2 linked regions of the Caenorhabditis elegans genome follow. The protein of the gene in region 1 interacts with the protein of each later gene in a pairwise test. Each region holds a gene or a part of one and is shown on either strand. Other genes may lie near its edges.

The links.
Region 2: the proteins of gck-1 (region 1) and ccm-3 interact in a two-hybrid assay, tested with the Caenorhabditis elegans proteins (2 studies listed by BioGRID).

What each region holds. Positions count from the first base shown.
Region 1 is NC_003283.11:8,946,741-8,951,765, reverse strand, and holds the start of gck-1 (Germinal center kinase 1), read right to left. Parts: upstream 3,063-5,025; 5' UTR 3,059-3,062; coding exon 2,531-3,058; intron 2,282-2,530; exon of another isoform or gene 2,109-2,281; coding exon of another isoform or gene 2,076-2,108; intron 1,783-2,075; exon of another isoform or gene 1,521-1,782; intron 1,029-1,520; exon of another isoform or gene 336-1,028; coding exon of another isoform or gene 318-335; intron 1-317. UniProt on the Caenorhabditis elegans protein: Serine/threonine-protein kinase which is required for normal oogenesis and suppression of germline cell apoptosis. Inhibits phosphorylation and thus probably activation of mpk-1 during pachytene stage.
Region 2 is NC_003280.10:10,604,935-10,609,172, reverse strand, and holds ccm-3 (Programmed cell death protein 10 homolog), read left to right. Parts: upstream 1-1,897; 5' UTR 1,898-1,907; coding exon 1,908-1,981; intron 1,982-2,037; coding exon 2,038-2,080; intron 2,081-2,162; coding exon 2,163-2,362; intron 2,363-2,417; coding exon 2,418-2,667; intron 2,668-2,967; coding exon 2,968-3,048; 3' UTR 3,049-3,456; downstream 3,457-4,238. Other genes in the region: taf-13 (Transcription initiation factor TFIID subunit 13), read left to right, coding at 3,571-3,702, 3,841-4,074. UniProt on the Caenorhabditis elegans protein: Involved in excretory canal elongation during postembryonic development. Plays a role in promoting Golgi stability, ER integrity and vesicle transport probably by regulating the activation of Rho GTPase cdc-42. Involved in fertility.

The sequences.
Region 1 (5,025 bases):
AAAAAAAACGATATGCGAGACGTGATTCATATTTATGACTGTCCCATGTACACAAACCCAAATGTGACTCAAATAGTATTAAAATATCGACAGACATACTGAAAACTATACGAGGATGTAAAATAAAATGCATTTTTAAAGTGTGGTGATCATTTAATATTTTCTTCGATAAAGAAAAAAGATTATCGAGACCATTATTAAAACTAATTTTTTGCGGAGAAAAAGAGAAAGGGCTGCACAGCCAATAACATTTTTCAATTATAATTCAAATTATTATGCTTATGAAGCAAGTTAAAAGATGAAGCAAAAAAACTTACAGAATTAGCAAACGTCATAGTGAAAGCTGAATTGTATAGTAAAATTCTTTCTCCAAAATAAAAACAGTTTTTTTCAAACAGAACGGTGTTAGAGACACGGAAATCGATAGAAAATGAGCGTGGTATGTAGATTGCAGAGTATGACTAGTTGCTGATTAGACACACGACACTCCTCTTATGCTCCTAACTATATTTGCGCCTAATGATGAATCAAACACTTAACTTGCCCGCCCTCTTTTCACTTTCTACTCTTTATGCGTTTCTACAGGTGATTAAAATGAACACAGAGAGGAGATTCAATATATATTAAGAAAATTTTTAATTTTCGATTAAATTTCAGCTATACGAACGATTTAAAATCACTTTAAGCGCTAAGCAATGCTCACAAGACGTATAAGCACATTTCTGAATATAATACACGCCTTGGGACTACAAACATAACTAGACCTCCGTCCGATTCTTGCGCCTTCTCTCACCACCAAACTGTACTCTTCCGTACAATTTCTTCTCTATTTCTGCTTCTCACCATCTCTCGATATTTCCCGTCCATCGGGGGGCCGCTGTCACACCGGCAACAGCAGCACACCGTGTTGTTCAAACATTCCGAAACTGTGGTGGTCTGTGCGGGAAGGAAAGAAGCGGGATAGGCTAGGAAACCCAAGTGTAGCGATTTTGGAGCATCAATACTCGATTTGTTCATGTGGAATCAGACATATGTATGAGATTAAATAAGGGTGGGGCTGGAAAACGTGTCCATTCCAAGAAAAAATATCGAACCGGAGCATAAAGAGTCATGAAACGTCTAGATAATATTTTGTGGCGATTGCAGTTGACAATAAAACGACAAACGTCATGAAATAAATAATTTCACAAGTAATACAAAGTCTTTGCAATTGTGTATTCAAACGTGGAGAAAGAACGTGTGAACGGTATTAGAGTGCTAATTACCGCTGCCTGATCAAAAACCGTCCGATTTTGCAAATCGCGTACGTTCCGAGCAGTTGAAAAAACGGCCGAGAAACTGGGAGAATAAAGGAGGAGGATACTAAACGTTTTGAGCAAACAGACTGCATTCCAACGTAGTAACGATTTTGAAAGAAGAATGATTACTTCGCACATTTAAACCATCTTCATCTGTTATGGGATTAGATTCATAAATTTCTTGGAAAGTGACACAAATCGAAGAGAATGGGAGATGCTGAGCGAAGTTTTGGATTAGAAGCCCCCACTCCAGAAGGATAAAATGCATCGAAAATGAGGAGAAAAGCGACAGATTAGTGTATGGCAGACGGCCGTACAGTCCTCGTCAACCGAACGAGAGAGGACGTTTTGCTTCGGTTGGCTACCCTCCCACCATCACGCAGTACGCGTCCGCCGGATACAAATTCATTGGAACGACGTACGGAAGAGAACGTAGACGTACTTCAGGAAGGAAGCGCCAGAATGAGGACACCATTGAGAAATGAATAAGAATCCCGTAAAACATTTCTGTTTCAATGTGATTGGCATTACAAATTGAATTTGAATGCATGTGGTGGCGTATCAGTTCAGAAATGGAACACTCAATTATTCGACACAATTTCACTCTCTAATTGCCTGAATTCGAATCGGAATCAAAACTAGTATTTGACTATGACGGAAAGAGTACTAAAAAACACACACTACACACAATTGCACTTTTGTGCCGAGCAAATATCTACTGTAACCCTCAACAAACAGATTTTTTAAAGGTTTTCGGTTGAAAATTCATAAGCTTACCTCAATTTCGGACCCAAAATTTGTGAAATCCATTGAAAATTCACTCGAGGTCGAGTATTTTGTCAATAAAAGGGGAAGGAATGATAAAAACTGAGCTAATACGGAAAAGAAAATAAATCATCAGCTCAGAGTTCAAATGTGTACGCAAACACCACATCTTACGACAACTTGCAGAGACAGTGGTAAATATTTATTTTTAGTGAAATTGCTTCCAGTTTTCGCAAATTTCCAATGAAATTTAGCTAGTAAAGACATCAGAAAGAGGAATTTGTACAACTAGGTTTATCTTTTATGCTTATAAAATGATTTATGTATCTGGTCAACCATCCAAGGTCTACATTTTTTGTTAAAAATGGGAAAATTATTCGAAAACGGTCATAAATATAAAACACTTTGATATGAGAGTCACATTGTTTTTCGAAAATAATAATGCACTGCTTTCAATTCCGACTCACGCTGTTATCTTCAATTGGTTTAACCACCTTCCGCCGTTCAGCTGGTTTTGGAGGTGACACTTCAGGTGACATGACATTCAGATCAACTGATAAACTCGATGGTAGTACAACTTCTGGTGTTTGCTGTGGATGCTCTGTTGAGTTGTAAATTCCTTGTATGGTTTTTCCGAAATTCGAAGGTTTGAAACCAGTCTCGAATCTATTCAACGTGGCACTATCGATAGAATCATCCATTTTGGAATCATTCATAATTCCATATGTCACATGCTCGCGTGGAGGTGTGATTTGTGGAAAATATGAATTTTGTTCCACAGGATACACAATGTTAGTGTTGACAAACAACGGTGAATCATAGGAATTCTGTTTTTGTAAAAATGGTGGTGCCGGTTCATCTTTCAAAACTTCTCTGAATGGCTCAGATTCTCGATATGGTGGAGCAGAAACAGGGGCTCGTTTCTCAAATCTTTGTATCGCAGATTGAACATTAGTTGTTCTCAAAATTGTGTCAGTGAAACGATGATCGTCCATACCTGAATTAATGAAAATTGTACAAGCTCCGATTTTTCAGAAGCGAAAATGCAAATCAAAAGGAAATCGAAGAGAAAGGACAGAAGGCGCCAAAAAAATAAAACGATAGGTGAAACGAGCGAATCGATAAGGAGGCAGAATTATGCCATAAAAATTCCTGATGCGTGATGCATTTCGATAACACGAGTAAAGAGAGTTTCGTCTGTGGAAATAAGAAGGGAAATGACAGCTCGACAAACACAAGTGTGATCGTTCAGAGCAAAACCGAACAGATTTAATTGATCCAGCGTTTTTTAACTCTTGTAAAAAATCTTTAACTCTTAAAATATATATTTTTTTAAATAAATCCGACCTGATTTCGAATGTCTTGTGAAACATTAGGTATTTTTGGACGCAATCATTAGAATTATACGTTTTACAAAATTTTATAAGATAAATTGAAAAAAAAAATTATTTTTAGAAAACAACAGAGATGCTGGTCAACTTTGCCGCCATGTTTGAAGAAGTTGAGAAAATCGAGAAATCGAAAAAGCAGTGAAAACCCTAGACCGAATTCTCAGACCGTGCACACTTGAAAGAAGTCGCGAAATGGGTGAAATTCGATACAAAGTCAGTTCAGCTTTTTGTGCTCAAAGAGGTCATTTTTCGGAGTGAAAGACACGTAAGGAAGAAAATGACAGAACGAGGAAAATAGTACAATTTCGGATTATTCATATTTGTTGTGTCAGTCGGCCGGCCCGCAAAAGTTTTTATAATCTCAACGGTCAATAGTGTTTTACAATTACTTTGGACATTGCAGGAGGTATTCTCCAACCTTACCTGAATATAAATTCGATCCCATTTCATTGAATCGTCGTCCGCCTGTCGAGGAAGTTCGTCTGATGATGTCGTTGTCATTGATTGTGATGACTAAAACATTTTAATGTGAAATGATTTGAAAAATAATAGAAATAGTCCACGTTGGAAGAATACGAAACAATTTTTGTTGGTAAAACAAGAGAAAACGAAGAAACTCATTCACGCGTGATCACGTACATGATGCGCGGATAGTGAACACATTTAGAACTACAGTAACCGAGTCTGACCGTTTTGAACGCTTACCGTATCACCTCTATTAATTTTGCATCCTGCTACATCATTCTGAAAGGCTTATTTTGAATCAATAAATAATTAACTACAAACGATAGGAACAGCGAATGAAAAATATGTTGTATGTTAAACTTATATAAAAGCTGACAAAGTAGAATACTAATAAATAGAGGAATACGGTAGAGACACTTCACTATTCAATTTCCTGAAATCCCTGAAATACTTCTTACAACAGAATACAAACAGTTTACTGTGACATAGCAGTAGAAAAACATTTGTGACGTCACAAAGTACTGCAAGATGTTTCCACTATAACTGAAGATCAGACAGTCAGATAACCCTCTGGATACATCCCGGAATGCCTCTAATAGTCTTGCACACATTAATTTACTTTGACACCTTTTATCTCGGATGATTTTTGAGATACCAAAGAAAGAATTTTAAAAACTATAGTATGAGAAATATAAATGTTTTTGGCAATTATCAATTTTTGATGAACTTAAATGTATGTATTCGAGATATGAGCCGACGCAGTTGAGCGTGCTAGACTATTAGAAATACGGCGGTAGTTGAACATTTTAAATAACTCATTTTGGTATTTAGAGCTCAAAAAAAGTAGCATTCATAATAAAACGTATTTCTCATAATCAGAGAAAACTGTTGTTTTTGGCCTACAATTGCAGATTACATATTCCAAAATTGATAGTATTACTTCTATAGAGAAAAAGTGATCAAGAAAATCGAAAAACGTTTACAAAACATCAATCACAAAAACAATTTGATTCGAAAATATCGGGATCAGTCTAATTATTCAAAGAATCCACCTGATCCGCAATAGTGTCCGGATTCCTTTCTGTTTTTGAAATTATTCAAATGAT
Region 2 (4,238 bases), on another chromosome or scaffold:
TACAGTACTCTTTAAAGGAGCACACCTTGTCGAATTTAGCAGGAAACAAAAATTTGTCGTGTCGAGACCGGGTACCGTGTTTTTGGCGTAAATGTCGTCAAATAAGAATGAGCGCGAGTTCAAAGTTAACATTTTTTGGAAACAGGCTAAACAATTATTCGAAAATTTGAAAAAATTGAATCATCAAACAACAAGTTTTATTTTGTTTTGAAAATGTTTGATCTATGATCGGCTATGCCTTTGACCATATATTAATACCAAATACAAAAAAAAAAGATGAAACTCGGTCAGAGAACAGAATTATCACAGGAAATGAGATTTCCTGATTGGGAGTCTATACCTTGAATGTACATGTTCGCAATTTTATTACCTATTTTTTGGAATGGGAACTGGTTTTTTCTCGAAACCTTTGACCAAAGGAAACATCTAGAAAAATGAAATCAGCACATTTTTTGAGAGCAATTTAGAAAAGAAAAGACAATAAAATGAAACAAATTTCAATGTTTTTTTCTCGACTCTATTGTTAATATACTCTGAAGCGTAACAAAGGTGTGAATAGTGGATCTCCTATTGATCGGCAGGAATGACACGGAAGATGAGACGGACAGCCGGGAGAAAAAAGATATTACGGAAGATTTTGAGACGCAGATTGATGGGAATTGGACTTGTGACTTCTTGTTTTCCGGAGATTCTTTACTATATCATAATTTTATTGACAGATATCCTTCACTGGTGGGCTGAAAATATAATAGAGTCCCCAGAAATACGGCACCGGGTCTCGTCGCGAAACACCATCATTAAATAGAAAAGTGAGTGTGCCTTTAGAGATTACTGTAATTTCTTTTTATTGATTTACGAAAAAATAATTTTCCACTAATTTTTCGATGAAGAACTTTTTATTTTTCGAAAAGTTTACAAAAAAAACTTTAATACATCCACTGAAACAAAAATTTGAAGTTACAGTACTCTTTAAAGGCACACACCTTTTTGTGTGCGAAAATTTGACGAGACCTGCTACCGTATTCTTTGGGAAAAATCATGAAATTTATCTGGCCAGATCTGGACAATTATAATTAAAAAAATATATTTTCAGGAAAATCTGATTGAATATTGGAAATCGTTGTTTATTCTCAGAGATTATTATTTGCAAAATCTGCATTTATATGTCTAAATAACACTAGCTAGTGCACTAGGCTAAAAATTGAAAGATTCATTATTTCAAAATTTGCAAAATTTTACCTCCACCGAGGTCTGAGTTGAGTAAAAACATTTTGTTCACATTTTCGCGATTGAATTGATTATTTAAAAAATTAAGCACTAATAAAATATATTTTTAACGTCGAATATTAAAATTTTTCCAAGAACTTTGTTCTCCAGAATTGTTCATCTCGAAATCTGCAGCATCTCTGGTGCCAGCAAGTGCGCTCCAATGCGAACATTTCATTTAAATTTTTTTTTTTTCGTTCTTTTTTTAACAGATTTTATCAATTTTTTGCGATTTTCATTATTTTTTCAAGTAAAAAACATATTTAATGTTATTTCTTATATTTCACAATATTAATTCAACTATTAAAAAACAATTGCATCGATTTCTGGGTGGGTTATCATGCGAAACCGATAAAAACCGTTATTATTATTATTATAATGACTCATAAGTTTCTCCAAGGAATTCGAATTCTGCTTTCACATTCCTTTCCGACCGTTCACTTTCTTCCTATATTTACTCTCCTCGTTTTCCTCTGTATTTCTCCAACTTTTCGCCTTATTATCTGCGTCTCTCTCCGCTTTTGATTTCTGTATGTATTTGCGATGCAAATCGATCGTATGCGGGTTTTTCCTTTTTTAACACAGCTTTCTCCTCTTAAAATTCACTCAAAAATCATGATTTTCATTTCAGCAGTTTCACAATGAACGAAGAGGGTGGATATCTTGGAGCGATGACATATCAATGCCTGTACAGTCCTGTGATGGAAAAAATTAAGTGGGTTTCAAGAAATATCAGTTTTTAAACATAATAATTTAAAAAATATATTTTAGACAGCAACATCGTGATGATCCAAGAGCTTCTCTCGCCCTAAACGTAAGCTATTCTATATAAGAATATTTTCTATGAATTTTATACTGTTAAACGAAAAAAAATAAATTAACAAAGAATTATTCAGAAACTGCACACTGCACTGACCACTTGTGAACAAGCTTCTCCGTCGTTTCTCTATGATTTCACAAAAGTTTTGCTGGATGACTCGGAATTGAGCGTTAATCTGCAGGAATCCTATCTGAGAATGCATGACACCTCGCCGACAAATGATTTGATTGTCAGTGGATATGAGCAGAATGCTGATTATAAAGAGCTCACGAAACGGTAATCAAATTAGATAATTTTTTTCAAAATTCCTGGCGTACGAAAAAAATTACAGAGCAATCGAGCTTCGTCGTGTTCTGTCCCGGGTTCCCGAAGAAATGTCGGATCGTCACGCCTTCCTGGAGACCATCAAGCTCATCGCATCATCAATCAAGAAACTTCTTGAGGCAATAAACGCCGTCTACAGAATTGTTCCACTCACTGCGCAGCCGGCCGTTGAGAAACGTAAACGGGAATTTGTGCACTACTCGAAAAGATTCAGTAACACTTTGAAGACGTATTTTAAAGATCAGAATGCAAATCAGGTTCGTGGGAAAAAATGTGCTTTTTTACTTAAATGCGTCGAAATTTGTCCTTGACTCCGAATATCTATGTGAAAAATTCAAAAGCCCCGGTTTTTCTGGGAAAAAATTCGCACTGAAATATAAAATCAGGGAGATTTTTTTTTAATTTTTTCACATCGATATTCGGCAAATTTGGACTTTTTTTTAAAATAAAAACCTGTAAATTTTCCCCAAATCTTGGGAAAATCAAACTAAATTCTTGAATAATATTAAAATCCATTTTTTTAAAACAAATTCTGAGCCTAAATTCAATGTTTGCAGGTATCCGTGTCCGCCAACCAACTGGTTTTCCAAACGACAATGATAGTCCGCACAATCAACGAAAAACTTCGCCGAGGATAAGCTCACCCATATGGCGGCTTATAACTGTGATCTACTAGACGGCTCTTTCCTTTTGCATGTGTTTTACTTTCATTTTTTGTTCACTTAATTTCTTGTTCTCATCCACACACTCATCACTTTATACATCGGATCTGCACACTTTCTTCTTTCTATGATTTTTCCTTTCCCAATTTTCTGTTTATTGACTGAAATTTTAGGAAAATGATTAACGTATTATGCTTTATATGGTTTTTCGGATTTTTTTCACTTCAAAAATATTGTAATAAGTAGCTCAATTATCATTCTTCCTTTCTTTTTCATGTGCCTTTCTTTGATTTTTCCTCGTTTTTTCACCCACTGATGTACTAGATTTTTTTCCATAAGTCGGTTTCTTCTCCAAATAACGTGATAAATTATTCAGAAATTTTTAATATTTTAATTGACTGTATTGCAATTCTTGTTGTCGAAAACTTATTATATATCTAATTAACTTCACTTTAAAAAATTTCAGACCAATTTTAAATTAATTTCAGAATTTAAAAAATGGATGACGAAGAGGATCTGTTCGGCTCGGATGCCGAAGATGACAAGGAGAAGGTGGTAAATCCGGAGGATAAGAAGCACGTGCTGAGACGAGATTTGAGATCAATGGTCTATGGCTTTGGAGATGATAAGGTTGGTAACAGGGCTGTGCAACTTTTTGAATCAAAATTTATTTGCATTTCTATAACAAATTAAAAAGAAATTAAATGAGCGGTTTTTCTAAGATTCCGATTGATAATTTCCTGAATTGTTTATAAATAAATGTTTCAGGAGCCATACGACAAGACCCTGGACACTCTTGAGGCCATTGTCCTAAACTACATCAAAGAGTTATGCCAACTGGCGATGAAAGTTGGAAAACCGGATAAAATGGCACTTGAGGACATTCACTATCTGATTCGTCGTGATCCGAAGAAGTTCTCGAGAGTCAAGGATCTGTTGTCAATGTCGGAAGAGTTGAAGAAGGCAAGAAAGCAGTTCGAAGATATGAAACCACAATTGTAAATTTGTATTGATCTCGGTTATTTGAATTTTATATTATTGAAACCCCCATCATGAATGTTTTTCTTTGAACGTATAGTATTTACAGAAATCCAAGTAAAACGACAGAAGACAACTTTTCAGGCAATTTTAAATGCGTACTTGTCAGGAAAAATAAAAACACAAAT